2 linked regions of the Tribolium castaneum genome follow. The protein of the gene in region 1 purifies or fractionates together with the protein of each later gene. This does not show direct contact. Links are inferred from orthologs where the notes say so. Each region holds a gene or a part of one and is shown in the gene's direction. Other genes may lie near its edges.

Region 1 (8,314 bases):
TTTTTTGTTTCATCTAATTTTTGTGTTTCTAAAATAGACCCAAATGATATTTAAACTTTTAAAGGTCCTGGAGCTATAGAAAAGTGAAGAAAAGACATCAGAGCGAATTAAAAAAAAAACGATTTGATTTTGAATGTCCCAATAAGTGAACAACTGTAAAAATTATCGATTAACTTTAAACTGCAAAACAGCGTTTTTTTATAGTTTTGTAGAGGTAAATTAACTGAATACAATGCAACAGCTTAAACAACTTTATCGTTATATTAAAAAAGAATCAATTTTTCTATGTAAACAGATTTAATTCATAATTAAAAAACAGGAATGTACTGCGTATGATATTTTAAATTGTAAGACGACATAAAATTACTTACATTTTTGGAATGCTCGGCGAGTCGCATAATTCTCTCATTTTCTTCATTTTTGGCTTGCTGAGTTAATTCGTTAAGTTCATCGTCACTTAAAATAGCCCTGATGTTTCTGCGCCCTTTCGTTCCACCCGTTTCATCCTCAACGCTAAAAAATTGTTGTTTTCTAAAACCACAAAACTACACAAAACACATTCACTTACATAAGAACATCGTCACTGTCAGAACTTGAATCAGACGAATCAGTTATAATCATAGTTTCGAAATTGTTATTTGCTACCTTAATTTCATTTTTATTTTCACTAATACTTTCCTGATCTGAATCAAGATTTTCAATTTCCACGACATTTCTCTTGTCGCTGTTATTATTAACTTTGACAACGTTTTCGTTCAGATCAGTGTTATCTTTTGTTCTTTTATCTCTCACATGGAATACCAACGAATCTGCATCCGAATCGCTGTCTGAGCTCGAACTGCGAAGCAAAGGATCGTTTTTCCAGCTTTTGCGTTTTGGAATCGTTTCTTCGTCCAAACTCGAACTACTCGTATCCTTGTCTTCGGTTGTAGTCTTTACATTTTTACTTTCATCCATATTTTCAGGCGTCATTTTCCTTTTCTTCTTAGCTGGCTCCTCTTCCTCAGTAGTGTCCGAATCTGAACTTGATTCACCTGAGTCCAATCTGTCCACTAAATTATCGGCCAAAGCCGCAAGTGCCTCATTTTCCGCATCATCACCAAAAACAGGTGAAGAAGGGCGTTGTTCGTCTATAATGAGATCAGGCGTTACAGAACCATCTGAGGAATTTTCATCCTCAGACGATGATGACGACGAAGAACTGTCCAAAGGTATTAATCGCCTGTATTTCTTTTTCCTATGTCGTGCTGTTATTTTTTTACATTTTCGTTTGAGTGTGTCCGTGTTACATAATCTATCTATTTCTCCATCACTGCTATCAATGCGTCGTAATTTTAGAGAAAAATTTTGGCAGTCTTCTGCAGCTACGGAAGAGCAAAAGTCTTCAACATTATCTTCGTTTTTACGGTTTACTTCATTATCGGAATTATCATCATCAGACCTAAAACAAAAGTGGCTCTAAAACAAAATTAATTCATTCCAATAACGTACAAAGAATCATCCGAGAATGAATCCTGACAACTTGATAATGACATATCCTCTTCTAAAATCTGTAAGGCTTGATCGCCCTTAGTTATCAAATCCACGTCAGAGTCGTCGACTGCTTTATTCAACAAATCCAAAAGTTCATGATTGTCTTCTTGTCCGCGACCTAAAATTTACATACTTAAAAAAGTACAGAAAAGATTAAATCACAAGTGGAGTAATTTTTGTTTTAATGATCTAACATACAGGTGATTCAGTCCAGCTCCCGTCTCCTGTAGCTCAGTTATTGTTAAATCTGGACTTTTGATATTTCGTAGATGTTATTTATAATCTAGGTCATATTTCAGGAAAAAGTTTGATTATACAGTTACACAAAAAAGTATTTTTTTATGCTCATTAGGATACCCTTATAGCTCCTTACATATCCATATTTTTTTAATATCAGTTTAGGGATTTAAAAACAAAAAAATTCGTTATTAAATAAAAAATAAATTAATCAGTAACTCTTTGATAACATTATTACTAGGTATGTGTTGAACAAGGTTTAACAGACTTATTATTGATTAATTTTGATAGATCTGAGTTAGTACAGGTGTTCACAACTTACTTTCAAACTTTTTAAATCTAGAGCATTTATTTTGCTTATTTTAAATGGGAACCCCTGTTTATTTTTACGTCATTCAATGAGGAAGTAAAAAAACAATAGAGTTGTTCTAACAAAAAAAAATGTTTTTTAATTCCGCATCGACTGACATAAAAATAAACACTGTTGGAACTATCTTCGATTTTTATTCATTAAATTTGTCATTAAAATTGCTATTTAGGTGACAAAATTTTTAGCAAATAACTCCTAATGTATTAGGATTTACGTTAGGGTTGTAATAAGAAAACATGTTCGTTTTCCAATTCCGCATCGAATGATGAATGATATAAAAATAAACAGGGGTTCCCATTTGAAAATAAAAAGTCACAAAATGTAAAAAGTTTGGAAGAAAAAAAAATAGGGACATGTCAAAAGGGTAACCCAATGCACACAAAAAATAATAGCATGCCATTAAAAAATATTATTGTATGACGTCAAACCTTTTTGGGAGACACTGTATAATCAAAAATATTTTCCTAAAATGCGCCGTAGAGTATAAATAACGTCTATAAAATATCAAAGATTCAACTTAGCTACAGATGACGGGAGCTGGACTGGATCATCCTGCATATCATCCAGAATTTTGGGAAAAGAAAAAGTTTACAAAGTGAAATAAACTTTTTGTTCGGCTTAACCTACAAATTTTGGTGCCTTAAAAGAAAAAAGGGTGACACAGGCAAAACGTAATGTGTACCTGATGTAGAAATAATTAAAAACGCATTAAAATTTCATTTGTTAAATAGTTGAGTCAACTAAAATGTAAAATAGCTGCTTATTGTGGAGAAAGTCTGGGTGTAGTTTACTTTATTTATTAAAAATAAACAAGAAAGACAAATACCTGGGCTATCTTTGGCTTTTTCTATTGCAACAGTCAACTGTTCTGTAAAGCAGAAGTATTTTATTAAAAAATAAAATTACCAGACTATGTAACTACCATCTACATCGTCAAAATCAAAACTCGCAGTCTCAAAATGATGCCTAATTTCGTGTTTTGTTTCGTCTTGGCTAGTCAGTTCATCTAAAGCCTTTTTTAATTCTCCGGCTACGTCTAGAAAAGGCGGAACGAACGATTAATTTTACAAAGCATAAATCAAATAGTACCATCTACGGAGCCATCAGCTAAAGGAATATCAAAATTTCGCAATGTGGGCTCGTCACAATCAGTCTCACTACCATCATCACTTTTGTCATCTTGGATATCTACAGTAGGAATGTCTAGAGTACCGGAAGTTCCTGGCAATTGTGCATTTGAGTCAATATCACACACTAAATCTATGTCAGTCTCTTGGGTTACGGCTTTTACTTCAGGAAGATCCTCCCGAGTCTTAAGACTAGACGCAGTTTTGGATTTCTCCGCTTCGTCTGCTTTTTTGTACGTTTCAAAGGCCGAATTGAATGTGTTTACAAACTCGCCCACATTTATATTTATCCGCTCGATGAGAGTTTTAAAATTTTGCGCTAAAGGCTCAACGGAACTCGGATTAAGTGATTCTACGTCGTTCAATAATTTATCCGACTTTTTTATAACTTGAGTCGACATGTACTTCAGGTCACTCAACACGTCAACTAGGACCTTTTGGAGTTCCGAACACGAACTTTCCATCATAATATACTTTTAGTAATAACTCAAATAACAATAATATTGGAAGAGCAAATGTAAGGTTATGAAGTCACTTCACTACATTTGAGTCAATTTTTTCATCAGTAACAATTTTTCACGCACGTTATCACTACACTACAGCCAAAAATCCTCTGATTTCATAACGTTTTGCAGAAAAAATTAATAACAAAAATAATCTGAAAACCACCCCTAAACTGTCACAAACTGTTTTGTTGTATTGGCAATCCTGTTGAAATTTTCTGTCGTCTGTCAGAAATGAGAAAGCAAATGTCCCTGTTGCACCACCAAAACTGTCCAAAATATGAGTTAATTTTGCACATTTGTGTATTAAATTAACTTCTGGTCACAAAACACCCAATATGCTCACCGTTTAATAAGTTGGGGCACACCACATAAAATGACTTCAATAATCAAACTGCAGGCCCTGTCGGGGGCAATGGACGAGTCGCCCCCTTGCTACATCCTGCAAGTCGACGAAGTGCGTATTTTACTGGACTGTGGATGGGACGAACATTTCGATATGGAAATTATCAAAGAAATGAGAAGGTGAACTTAACCTAAAAACGGGAACTTGATTTGACTGACTTTATTTAAGGCATGTTCACACGATTGACGCCGTCTTGATTTCGTACCCTGATGTGGCGCATTTGGGGGCTCTTCCATATTTAGTCGGAAAGTTGGGCTTGAATTGCCCTATTTATGCCACAATACCGGTCTATAAGATGGGGCAAATGTTTATGTATGACTTGTTTCAGTCTCATTATAATATGGAAGACTTTGATTTATTCACATTGGATGATGTGGACGCCACTTTTGAGAAAGTTATTCAGCTGAAGTATAATCAGAGTGTTCCATTAAAAGGTAGGTAACTTCCAAAAATTGTTATTTCGTAAAAGTTAATTGGGGAAAAGGCAAGGGGTATGGATTGACAATCACGCCCTTGCCTGCTGGGCACATGATTGGGGGCACAATTTGGAAAATAATGAAGGTTGGTGAAGAAGACATTATTTACGCTAATGATTTCAACCACAAAAAAGAGAGGCATTTGAACGGTTGTGAGTTAGAAAAGTTACAAAGGCCCTCTCTGTTCATCACTGATGCGTTTAATGCTACGTACCAACAAGCCAGGAGAAGGGCTCGGGACGAAAAACTAATGAGTAATAATGAGCGTTGAGTTGGAAAGTTGTTAATAATTTTTTTAGCCAACATTTTGCAAACTTTGAGGAACAACGGCAACGTTCTGGTCGCTGTGGACACAGCAGGCCGTGTTTTAGAACTGGCCCATATGTTGGACCAGCTTTGGAGAAACAAGGAATCAGGCCTTCTAGTCTATTCTCTAGCTCTGCTAAGCAATGTCAGTTACAACGTTGTAGAGTTTGCAAAGTCTCAAATTGAGTGGATGAGTGATAAACTGATGAGGAGTTTTGAAGGCGCGAGAAATAATCCTTTCCAGTTCAAACATCTGCAACTGTGTCACAGTTTACACGAACTACAGAAGGTTTCAAGTCCTAAAGTTGTTCTCGCGAGTTCGCCTGATATGGAGAGTGGGTTCTCTCGCGAGTTGTTTCTTCAGTGGTGCTCAAATCCTAATAATAGTATAATTATCACGACTAGGTTTGTAATTTATTTAATTTTTTTTTGTCGCTTAAAGTATGATTTAAGGACGTCTCCGGGGACATTAGCTCGAGATTTAGTCGATAATGGGGGCAATCGCCAAATCGATTTGGTTGTGAAAAGACGAGTCAAGTTAGAAGGTAGCGAACTTGAAGAGTACCAAAAGAGCCAAAGAGAAAAACGAGAGGAAAATTCCAGCAGGGAGTAAGTTTGAGTTAGGTGGGTTACACTGTCACTTAATCCCCCTTTTAGCGAGGAGTCGGATTCAGACGATGATATTGAAATGAGTGTCATATCAAAAGGGCGGCACGATATTGTCATAAAACAAGAAGGCAAGACCTCAGGTGGCTTTTTCAAAGTTACGAAAAAACAATATCCCATCTACCCTTTTCACGAAGAAAAAATCAAATGTGACGAATACGGCGAAATAATCAAACCGGAAGACTACAAGCTAGCTGATGTCGTCACAGAAACTGAAGATAATAAGGAAAATGTTGTGATCAAAAAAGAAGAAGAGGTCATTCGTGAGTATCATTTACGGGCAACTAAATATCAGAAGGCAAACAACTAACCAAACCTTTAGTGAGGTGGAGCAAAATTCAAATTCTCTGTTTCAAATTAATTTAATTAGTTCGCTGATTGATTAGAAAAAATGCATCATGTTCTTAATGAGCGGCGAAAAAAAATTTGCGTTCTGTTCTATATTTCTCAAAACGCTGCGAATACAGGGTTATATATACAAGAAAAATGTAAGAAAAAAAAAGTTGAAAGAATAAATAAAGAAACAATGACGTTTAAAGCAGCTTATTTTACTGGTAGGTGGATTTTGGGGGAACACTTTAAAGTAAATTAAATGTAATCAGTTGAAAATTGAGATGTGGCCTCGTGGACTACTTTATAGAAAACTGAATTTTCTACAACTTTGTTTTTTCCACTTTTTTATATCTTTATCAGTATTCTCAAAATAAAATTGTGGTAATTTTTAAAAAAATATATGTTTTGGTATTTTTTGCGTTATACTTAAATAAGAAAATACTATGGGAGTATCAATAGAGTATAGGGCAAATTGATAAAAAAAGTCTTTGCCTAACCATTTTCGAAATATTTTTTTTAAATTATGTTGGAGATAAAGAGTACGTCACTGATGTATACGTAAGTAGTATTAGCACAGTTGATGGAAACTTGGAGAGCATGATATTCATTTGATGACAATGTAACTCGATCACTGCAACAATGATCACTGTGTATTATCGATATTCATGATAAAAACGAGCACATTTTTTCCAATACAAGTAAACCCATGAGCGCCGTAAGTGAGCCTTACGAAATAAAAACTTAAATATGTACAGGTCGTCTCTACTTTTCGGTGAAAAGTTATGATAAAATTTCGTCGCCACTTTTACTTGGATAGCTGTGATAAAATTTTGTCGGTCAATTTAAGAATTACCCCGTATGTGGTATCTTAATATGGAGATTTTTTATTAATAAATTAATATGTCGTGTCGCATTCTAGTATCATAGAATTGTAGTTTGAATTTAAGGACCTATGATTTGAATTTAAGTTGGCAACATTAATTATTTTCTGTTCGTAATTTGTGGCAGAAACTGCCAATTTGGATAATTATTTTTACCCTTTATTTGTAGGCTTTCTTGGCAATAAATTTGTCATTGGAATCTTATCACACATACTTTTTTACAAAAAGTTAAAATTTGTGACAAATTTGACCATAAAAAGCGCTGTTGGCTTTTTTGCCTTGTTTGAAATCCAATTTTTTTAGCACTGTTACAAAATAAACTTATACTAAATTTATATAACATGAATAAACAAATCAAATAAAAATTTAATAGAAAACACATTTAAAAGGCGTTCGAGAAAAAAAGTGAATATAAAAAACGCGTGAGTAGTAAGGAAGCCTTTAAATAAGTTCAGTTTATAATTGTTTTTATAAAATCAATGTTGTTTTTCTGCAATTAAACTTTTGGTGAGAAATTATATAAGAGTCGTAAGACATAAATAAACATAACACTTTTTAGTGGAATTATAGAAATTCGCAGACTATATATTTTGTTGCTTTCCAAAAAATGGTATAGTTTTGTTTAAATAAAACTTAAAAATAAATGTCCGACTTGGTAACTTTCTGCGATAAACCCACGATTTATTTATTTACTTATTTCCGAAGAACGGCTTTAGGCATAGTCTTATCCTCACATAATAAATGTTGCCAACCTAATTTTAAAATCACAGGTCACTGATTGACAATATTTACAGCTGAGGTGGCTGAGACGCCGTCCAAGTGCATCGTACTTAGCAGGACTGTCCAGGTTAACTGTCAAGTGCAATATATTGACTTCGAAGGTCGCTCAGACGGGGAATCCCTCATGAAAATTTTGTCTCAGTTGAGGCCCAGAAGAGTTATAATCGTCCGAGGTTCGCCTGAGAGTACTAACACGATAAAAAATCACTGTCAGGAGAATCTCGATGCAAGAGTGTTTGCTCCAGTCAGGGGTGAAGTCGTGGATGCGACAACTGAGACTCATATTTATCAAGTGCGTCTGACTGATGCTCTGGTGTCTCAACTGAATTTCCAGAAGGCTAAAGATGCCGAAGTTGCGTGGCTTAACGCCCAGATTGTGGTCAGGGAAAGTCAGTTGGATGCGAGGAGGATGAATGTCGACAACGAACCAATGGAAGGTAAATTTTGTGGCAATGACGTAAATTATAGGGTCTGTTTATAAAAGAGAGGATCTCAGGTGGTTCTGGAATTGGAATTCGCCGCATTTAATTACTTTATTTCTATTAAATTTCTGATAAGTACCAATTTTTATCTACTCTACAACCATTGAAACAATTTTTTTTCATATACTAACATTGTTCGTTTTTTGTGGAAAGAAGCGGCAAACTTTTAATACCTACTACAATCCTATATTCATTTATAGACGGATTGTTTTTC
Region 2 (8,262 bases), on another chromosome or scaffold:
AGTTCCTCATTTTCCGAACGCACGGTTTCCAAAATTTGGGTCAAATCGTGAATTTTGTTCTCCTTACTCGACATGACCGATTCCAAGTCAGAAATTTGCTTCTTACAAGCGATAATTTCAGCCTGTGTTGCTCCGACTTCGCTCTTCATCTCTTCCGCTCGTTCTTCTAAAAGCTTGTTCTGTTCGCGGACCGCATTTGTTGTGCTTTTCTGCGACTCGAGCTGGCTTTTCAACTTGTTGATTTCTTCTTGCTTCTTTTCCAATTTCTGGGACAACTCCTTGACACTCCTCTCGTAGTCTTGCATTTCCAGGTTAAGGACGGAGTTTTTCTTGCGTTCGATATTGGAATGTTCAAGGGAATTTTTCGTTTGTTGGTGGTACTCGCTCTCGGCCTTGAGCGCCTGTTCTTTGGCCTCCAAGTCCGAGGTGAGTTTGGCGATTTTGGCCTCGTATTCCTTCTTCAAAACCTTATTCGCTTCGAGTTCCTTTCTAAACGTCGAAACTTTGCCGCTTATTTGCTTCTTCCAGGCTTCAGTCGTGACTTTCTCTTGGTTTAACTCTTCCAATTCTTTCTTGAGTATGGTGATTATCTCCTCGTTTTCGCTCAGTTTTTGCTTATCTTTGGAAACTTCAGCAAGGGTCGAATCCAATCGGGCGGAATATTCCTTTATTTGTTTTTTGTTTTCGTCCAATTCGTCTTGTAATTTATCGCACTGGGCTTGCAAAGTTGCGATGGTTTTCACGTTACTGGCACATTTTTGCTGAATATCGTTCTTCTCGTTTTGCTCCTTCACCAATTCGTTGGACAAGTCACGAACTTTCCCTTTCAGTTTCACGGCCAAGTTTCGTAGTTTTCCGTATCTTTCCTCCCAAGACCCTTCCAGATCTTTCATTCTGTTTGATTCCTCCGTTCTTGAAATTGTCGACGTGGACATGCACTCGCTATCGGCGTAACTTGAATCAAGATTCGAGTTTAACCGTTCTTTCAAATTCTCAATTTCGTTTTTCAAATCACTGATTTCGGAGGTGTTTGAGTTTAAGTCACTCGTGGCTTTAAGTCGCTCGATTTCGTCTTCAAGTTTTTTAATTATTTCCTCCTTTTGGGATATGTTGTCAACGTTTTTGTTGGCTTGTGTCTCATACAATTGCAATTTTTTCATAACTTCTTCGCAGTGAGATTGCAATTTGGAAATAGTCTCTCCTCTTTCTTTCAGTGCTTGATTCATTTCGTTCATTTCGGCCAAAAGTTCGGAATTTTCTCTCTTCAAACCTGACACGACTTCTTCCAGTTCGCTGTTTGTTGAATCCTCAGTTTGGCATTCCACTTGTTTGCAGTTATCACGGGTGGTTTGCAATTTTCGGTTCATTTCCACCAACTGGGCATTTTCTTGAACTAGTTTAAGTATTTCTTCACTGGTTTTATCAGCAATTTGCCTCTCCGTTTCTTTTGAATGTTCAAGTGCTTCTTGAAGACTGTAATTCTTCTGCTTCGCATCATTTAGCTCCCTCAAGTTTAAATCTAGATCCTCCTCCAGCTTGGAGATGACTTTTCGGTATTCAATGCAAATTTTTTCATTTTCTTCGATTCTGTTCTTGATCTCAATTGTGTCTTTCTTGCTTTGGTCGTCAAAAACTTTGATTTCTTCCTGATGTCTTTCCTCCAATTGAGACAAATTCTCAAGCAGACTCTCCTTTTCAACAGTGAGCGTTTCAACAGTTTGCTGGTAGTCAAGTTGAAGTTGTAACAATCTTTGATTTTCTTCAATCAATTTCTTATGTTCTTTGGAAATTCTCTCAAACTCGCCAAGTTCTTTACTTTTCTCGTCGTCGGTTTTATGTGCCTCAAGTTGTTTCAGATATTTTGCATTACTTTCTTTCAAACCTTCAATTTCCTTGTGATATTCAGAGTTCTGTACTTTGATATCACTAATTTCTTGGCACAACTTTTTTGAAGCTACACCCAACTGTTCTTTCCATTCTTCCACTTGATGTGAGTACGTTTTGAGCAAACGCAAAACCTCGTTTTTATTTTCCTTCAAAACCTTCACATTACCGGCCAGTTTTACAACTTTTGAGTGATAAAATTTCAGTCTCCCTTTAAGTTTCTCAACCAACTCCACATTTTCTCTTGTTTCATTTTTGATTTTTTCTAAATCCTCGACCAATTTCAATTTTTCCTGCAACTCTTGGCCTATCGTTAAAATGTTCTTATCCTTCTCCCCCAGATTCGTCTTGAGCACGTCAATTTTCTCCCTCATTGTGTTATTCTCAGCTTGCAACTTCTTAACTTCCTCTAAACTAATACTAAGCATCTTCTGCAACTCTGCAGACTTATCACTTGTGTCATCACTCCGTAACTTTTGATTCGCCTCTTCCAACATCAGCAGCTGATTTTGCTGTTCAAGTCCCAGGTTTTTGCACTCTTCGAGTTGCTTTTCCAGAGACTCCAGATGCGTAATCAGCTGCTCATTTTCATCCGTCAAACGCTTGATTTGCCTTTTATACGAAATATTCTCGCTTTCAAGCCTATCCTTCTCCTCACACAGACGTGCGTCTTGCGTGCAGTTTTGCACTTTATTCACCAAAGCGGCATTTTGGCTCTTCAAGTCTTCAATCGTGGTAACAAACTGCAACTTCTGTTGGGTCAAATTTTCGATAATTGCAGTTGTGGCATCTCCAGATTCCGATTTTAGCCTATTTTTCAGCTCGTTATTTTCCTCCTGGAGCGCGTCCTTCGCCTGTTTGGCCTTCTGGGCGAGAATCAAAAGCCGTTCGCACCGTTTAACCAATTCCTCTTTCGATAAATTCTCCAAAACGATTTTCTTGCCACTTTCGGATGGCGTATTCGATTCCATCTCGATAGTTACTTAATCTATTGTATTGTAATTTCCAAGTAATTAGCAATTACATTGTATTTTAATAATTTTTTATTATTTTGACACATCAATAGTATTTTGACAGCAAAAGTCGCCAACAAAAAGCGGAAAAGTTACTGTTTTTTGGTAACATGTTCACGTCACTTCTGCCATAACCTCAATCTTTGGCTTTCCAAAAATGGATGATTGGCTCTCATTTTCAATTAATTTAACGCTTTAGATAAAACTAGCTTTGTTTTCGAAATTTCGTTGCTTTAGTGGCAACAATTGCGTCATTTTTGGTTGTAAAATCCTCTCGACATGGATTTTACCATGAACGAAGTTTCCGACGAGGATTTAGTAAAAAACCGAGATTTAGTTGATTTCGGTAGTAAAGAGACGCGTTTTAGGTGACCCAATGGATAAATAGCGCTGCAGTGTCCCGCTCTGCTGCAGAAAAGCTTGAATACTTCCACAAATTGCAAGAAGTTTTGATTCGGAAGTCGCCCCATTTGCTGCCAAAGTTTTTACAAAACATGCTTAATTTCACGACTGATAGGAATGGGGACGTGAAAAAAGCGCTAGTGGGTTTTATTGAAGAGTTATGGTAGGTTTTATGCATTTTAATTGGTTACTTAACTTTTGTTTTAGCAAAATGCGCGAGTCTCTTTTACCTAAAGTAATGCTAAACCTTCATATGCTACTATGTGATGAGTCAATAGCGGTGCAAAAGCGCGTAATTCAAGCTTTAATCAGTATTTATCGCAAAACGTTGGCCTGGTTATGCAAGGCTTCTGTAATTACAGAAGAAATGGAAAACGCCTGGAAGCAATTGTCTGCCATAAAATTAGAAATTGCAAATATGATTGATAGTGACAATGACGGCATTAGGACTAGTTCAGTGAAATTTTTAGAATGTGTTGTGTTGTTGCAAACTTATCCCGACCAGGAAGAGAACAAGAAACCGAACGACTTCTCACTCGATGATGTTCCTCTGACGTTAAAATTGGCGCGGAGGCGAAAACTAGAAGAGGAAGCAAAGTATTTATTTTTTTTTAAATTCGCAAATTTCTAATTGAATTTTTTAGTACCTTGTTTGAGTTACTTTTAAAATTTTTTGGCTCTCCCCATATTAGCAGTGCCAACTTGTTAACCTGCCTGGGCGTTGTTACAAACATTGCAAAAAATCGGGCCGAATTTATGTCTCGAGTTGTCTCAGCTATTGAATCACTTTACAATAACCTACCTCCAACTCTAACAACAACTCAAGTGAATTCCGTGCGTAAAAAATTAAAATCCGAACTCGCTGGACTTATCAAACACCCAGCGGCTTACGAATTTGTGGAGAAATTAACCCCAATGCTCACCGATTTAGGTGCGTTTTATTTTTACGCAAAAAAATTTTTTAGGATTTTTTTCTCAGGTTATTCCCAGCAAGACATTCTTAAAATGGTACCGAAACCCGACGAGCGGCGGAAATATTGCAAGAGGACTCTCTCAGTTGAGTCCCTTCAGATCTACAATAAAAGACCTAGACTTGATCCTCAAATTGAATTCGATAACGACACCAATGACAGTGATTCGCAAACACTGCAAGAGTTGAATGAGAACTTTGTGTCTGAAAATTTCACGTTGGAAAGAGCGGTTCAAATGGTTTTCGCTTCTATGAGTAAACTGCCGGCTACAATGTCTCCCGATTTTGCGAAAGAGTATGGCAAATATGTCGATAGTGGAAAAGTTGGCCAATTTGATGTTTTGACAAAACTTATTGCCACGTATTTGACTGAGGCCGGGGTTTCGCCGTCTTCGAAAAGTTTTGCAAAAAAGGTCGAGGAATTTAGACAGCAGGAGAAGGAGGAAGAGGACAAGGAAGAGAAGGAAAAGGTAAGAAAACAATTTTTGCACACAAATAATATAATAATAAGTAAAACAGAAACAGTAATTTGCAATTCAGATTTCACATTTTCAGCTGTATTTAAGAAAAGATAAGATGTAATTCATTGTACCAAATATTTGTCTATTTATTTATTTATTTATTTATGTATTTATCTTTATCTGTTAGCTTATGTTGGTTCGGATGATTTGAGAAGTTATGTATCACGCATCCTGTATTTTTTTTAAGTTATGTTTTGATAACTTATCGTAATTGTGAGGTCAAAGAAATTTTAGTAATTATTCTTAAAAAAAAATATAATGAAGCCTCTATTTGTTTTACAACATGTTTTACACATTTGGTAGCTCCTGAAGAAGGAACGAGCAAAAGTTCCCCGAATCAAGACACTGAAACTGTCCGAAATCACCAAACCTATCGAGAAAGAAACAAAGGAGAAATTGTTAATAGGGTCCATAAACCGACTTTTAACCGCGGACAAAACAGCCGCAAAATGCTTGTACCAAAAACTAATCACCACAATCGCAGCCTGCTTTAGCCCCACTGTCAGACAAACAGTGTTGGCGTTTCTCCTATCAGACTTACGGTCTCACATAGACCTGGCCCTGGCGTGGCTTTTTGAAGAGTACGGAATACTGCAGGGCTTCTCAAGAGTGCCCCCTTTACGCAAAGACACCAAACTGGACAAAAGCTACAACATCTTGCTTTGCACATTTATAAACGCTTGTATGCACGACTCAGCAGTGCTCTGTCGATTGTTTTTGGAAGCGCCTTTAATAACAGACGAGGCTTTGGATAAGCTCCACCAGTTGTGCCGAGACGAGAAGAAATGCACAGCAGCTTTGGGGTTGTTGCACGATTTGACGGTCCGGAAGCCCCCCAAACAGTTGATGTTCCTCAACGCCCTCCTCTCGTACACGACGTACGAATTGAGCGTGGTAAGAGAGTGTGCCATTGGACACGTTTTGGAGTTGCACAAGAAGGTGGAGTTGAGGTTGGTGATTGAGGAGTTTGCACGAATGAATTTGGAGTTTTTGAAGTTGCAAAGGCCGCCGGAGAGTTTGTGTGGGTTTAGTCAAGGGAGGTTGAAGAGCGAGACTTGGGGCGATGATTTTATAAAAGCTTGTCTTATTCCGTATATTTCGCTATTGCCAGCCAATGAGAGTCTTATTCATGACTTGGCTAAGGTTTACGTACAGACGGGGGCCAACATTAAACGGATTATTCTACGTCTGCTTGAAACCCCGATCAGATCAATGGGGATGGACTCACCTGAGCTTCTAAAACTGGTGGAGGAGTGTCCCAAAGGCTCGGAAACTTTGGTCACGCGTGTTATACACGTTTTGACGGACAAGGGCCCCCCGAGTGCACAGTTGGTGCAAAGAGTCAGGGAATTGTATCACACGAGAGTGTCAGATGTTAGGTTTCTTATCCCAGTTTTGAACGGGTTATCAAAGAAAGAAGTAATGAGGTCGAGCGTCGTTTGTACTTTTGACTAATTTGTACAATTGTAGGTAATTGCAGCTTTGCCAAAGCTAATTAAATTGAACCCGGTTGTTGTAAGGGAAGTCTTTAACCGACTTTTAGGCTTACATGGTGACAGTCCAATTACCCCAACTGAACTTTTGGTCGCTCTACATTTAATTGATTCCACGAAAGCCGACTTGAAAACTATAATTAAGGCCACATCTATGTGTCTTCAGGAAAAACAAGTACGAATTATTTTCGCACCGAATATATTTCTCAAATTACCAAATTCCAGGTATTTACTCAAGAAGTATTAGCTGTTGTTTTGCAACAGTTAATGGACCAAACCCCGCTACCAACTCTACTCATGAGGACTGTCATCCAAGCTTTGGGCAGTTATCCCCGACTGTCAGGGTTCGTGATGAATATTTTGCAACGTCTGATCTTAAAACAGGTTCTGTCGTATTACAAAAAAAAAATAATCAATATTTTTTGTTGCTTTTTGAAGGTTTGGAAACAGAAAGTGGTATGGGAGGGATTTATCAAATGTTGTCAAAGAACAAAACCGCAAAGTTTTACTGTTTTGATGCAATTACCACCGCCCCAACTATCTGATGCGTTGTCAATTTGTCCCGAGTTGAGGGAACCGCTCAAAGAGCATTTGCTGAATTTTACTGAAGGGCAAAGGTCGCACATCCCGCCCACAGTCCAGGAAATCATTTTAGGAAGTTACGCACAGCCGCCACCAACGATTGTTCCGCCACCGGTGGTTGTAACTCCAGAAGAGGTAAGTCCTAGTGACTTTTAATACTATTTAAAATAGTTGAGATCGAAACTGTAATCAATTAAAAAGGCTTTGTTGGGTGGAACTGTTTTAGTTGCAGCTTAATCAGCAGTTCCAATTTTCTGCGGTTTTTTAGACAATTTTTTTTTCAGCCGATTGCTGCGCCCCCGACATTAGCCAACGAGCCTTTGCCGCCCGGAATGGAATAAGCGTTAATTTAACTTTTATTATCTCAATTTTATTAACAAATGAATAAAAAACCTTACTTTAATTGTGTATTTTTACCTACATTTGGAATGTAATTGAGACTTTTGAAATTGCGGAACTTTTCGTCGAACTGGACTCAGATTTGACGCTTTTAACGTCAGAAACGTCTTTTTCTTGATTACAAGAACTGCTGGACGTAGACCTTGTTGATTCTGAGCAGGCACACAAGGAGGCAATTGTGCGTTTTTCGGGTAATTTGACGTCATATTCGAGCGTGTAACGAGTAATCAGCGGTGCCATTTCTTGATAACGTATAGACATTTCCACCAAACGCTGCATAGCACTGAGATTAGCTTCCTTCAATTGGCGGATTTCCAAGTCTCTCTGAAAAGATAAACAAATAATAATTGGAAAAAATGTAAATAAACTTACGTCATATTTTTCACGTTCCTTGTGACGAACTTTCTTTTGTGCGAGTTTTAAACAACGTTCAGCTCTTTTGAGCTTTTCTTCTTTCTCAGAGCTTTCTTTCTCAGTTTTTAAGTACTCTTCCTCCAAGTCGAAAAGTGCGTCTTTGGCTTGATCGCGTTTTATTTCAAGCTCTTTTAGTGCATTTTGTACTTCTACGAATAATAAACGATGTTAGAACGTTTGTGTTGCATTTTGAATTTTTGTATTGTGAGTGAAAAACGGTAAATATTATAAAATAATTAATAAAACAACATTAAGTGACAGTAAGTTTTTTTGTTTACACTGTTTATCTGCGATAGTTTTTTTTTTCTTATGATTGAACGTAATTATGTAATTAAAGACAGGCGAGTAAAATGTTTGTAATTTTAGCGCAAGTTGTAAATAAAAATGTTCAATTTGATAATAAAATTTTGTTACCTTCCAGTTCTTGTCGTTTCACTGCCATCTTCTTCCTATTCTCCCGCAAAGTATCATTTATCAAAAGCATTTCATTTTCCAACATTTTCATTTCACTCATTTCCCGTCCTGTAACCGCCAGTTCTAGAAATTTGCAGCACAAGAAAATAGTTACCATCATCCTCAACCGC

Evidence for each region.
Region 2: the proteins of Cpsf100 (region 1) and Sym purify together in Drosophila melanogaster (affinity purification with western blotting; 3 studies listed by BioGRID). This does not show direct contact. The link is inferred for Tribolium castaneum from reciprocal best matches to the Drosophila melanogaster genes Cpsf100 and Sym.

Annotation. Positions count from the first base shown.
Region 1 is NC_087396.1:18,206,063-18,214,376, forward strand, and holds the start of Cpsf100 (probable cleavage and polyadenylation specificity factor subunit 2), read left to right. Parts: upstream 1-4,007; 5' UTR 4,008-4,146; coding exon 4,147-4,295; intron 4,296-4,344; coding exon 4,345-4,610; intron 4,611-4,660; coding exon 4,661-4,906; intron 4,907-4,951; coding exon 4,952-5,363; intron 5,364-5,411; coding exon 5,412-5,567; intron 5,568-5,615; coding exon 5,616-5,887; intron 5,888-7,632; coding exon 7,633-8,055; intron 8,056-8,314. Other genes in the region: transcriptional regulator ATRX homolog, read right to left, coding at 372-513, 569-1,441, 1,492-1,651, 2,967-3,008, 3,063-3,176, 3,230-3,734. UniProt on the Drosophila melanogaster protein: Component of the cleavage and polyadenylation specificity factor (CPSF) complex that plays a key role in pre-mRNA 3'-end formation, recognizing the AAUAAA signal sequence and interacting with poly(A) polymerase and other factors to bring about cleavage and poly(A) addition.
Region 2 is NC_087398.1:8,154,387-8,162,648, forward strand, and holds Sym (symplekin), read left to right. Parts: upstream 1-3,028; 5' UTR 3,029-3,176; coding exon 3,177-3,215; intron 3,216-3,265; coding exon 3,266-3,462; intron 3,463-3,506; coding exon 3,507-3,896; intron 3,897-3,943; coding exon 3,944-4,230; intron 4,231-4,278; coding exon 4,279-4,739; intron 4,740-5,093; coding exon 5,094-6,209; intron 6,210-6,260; coding exon 6,261-6,458; intron 6,459-6,508; coding exon 6,509-6,667; intron 6,668-6,721; coding exon 6,722-7,000; intron 7,001-7,149; coding exon 7,150-7,206; 3' UTR 7,207-7,268; downstream 7,269-8,262. Other genes in the region: GRIP and coiled-coil domain-containing protein 2-like, read right to left, coding at 1-2,855; Ccdc39 (coiled-coil domain-containing protein 39), read right to left, coding at 7,283-7,588, 7,637-7,827, 8,093-8,200, 8,247-8,262. UniProt on the Drosophila melanogaster protein: Component of a protein complex required for cotranscriptional processing of 3'-ends of polyadenylated and histone pre-mRNA. Involved in germline stem cell transit amplification, differentiation and mitosis-to-meiosis transition.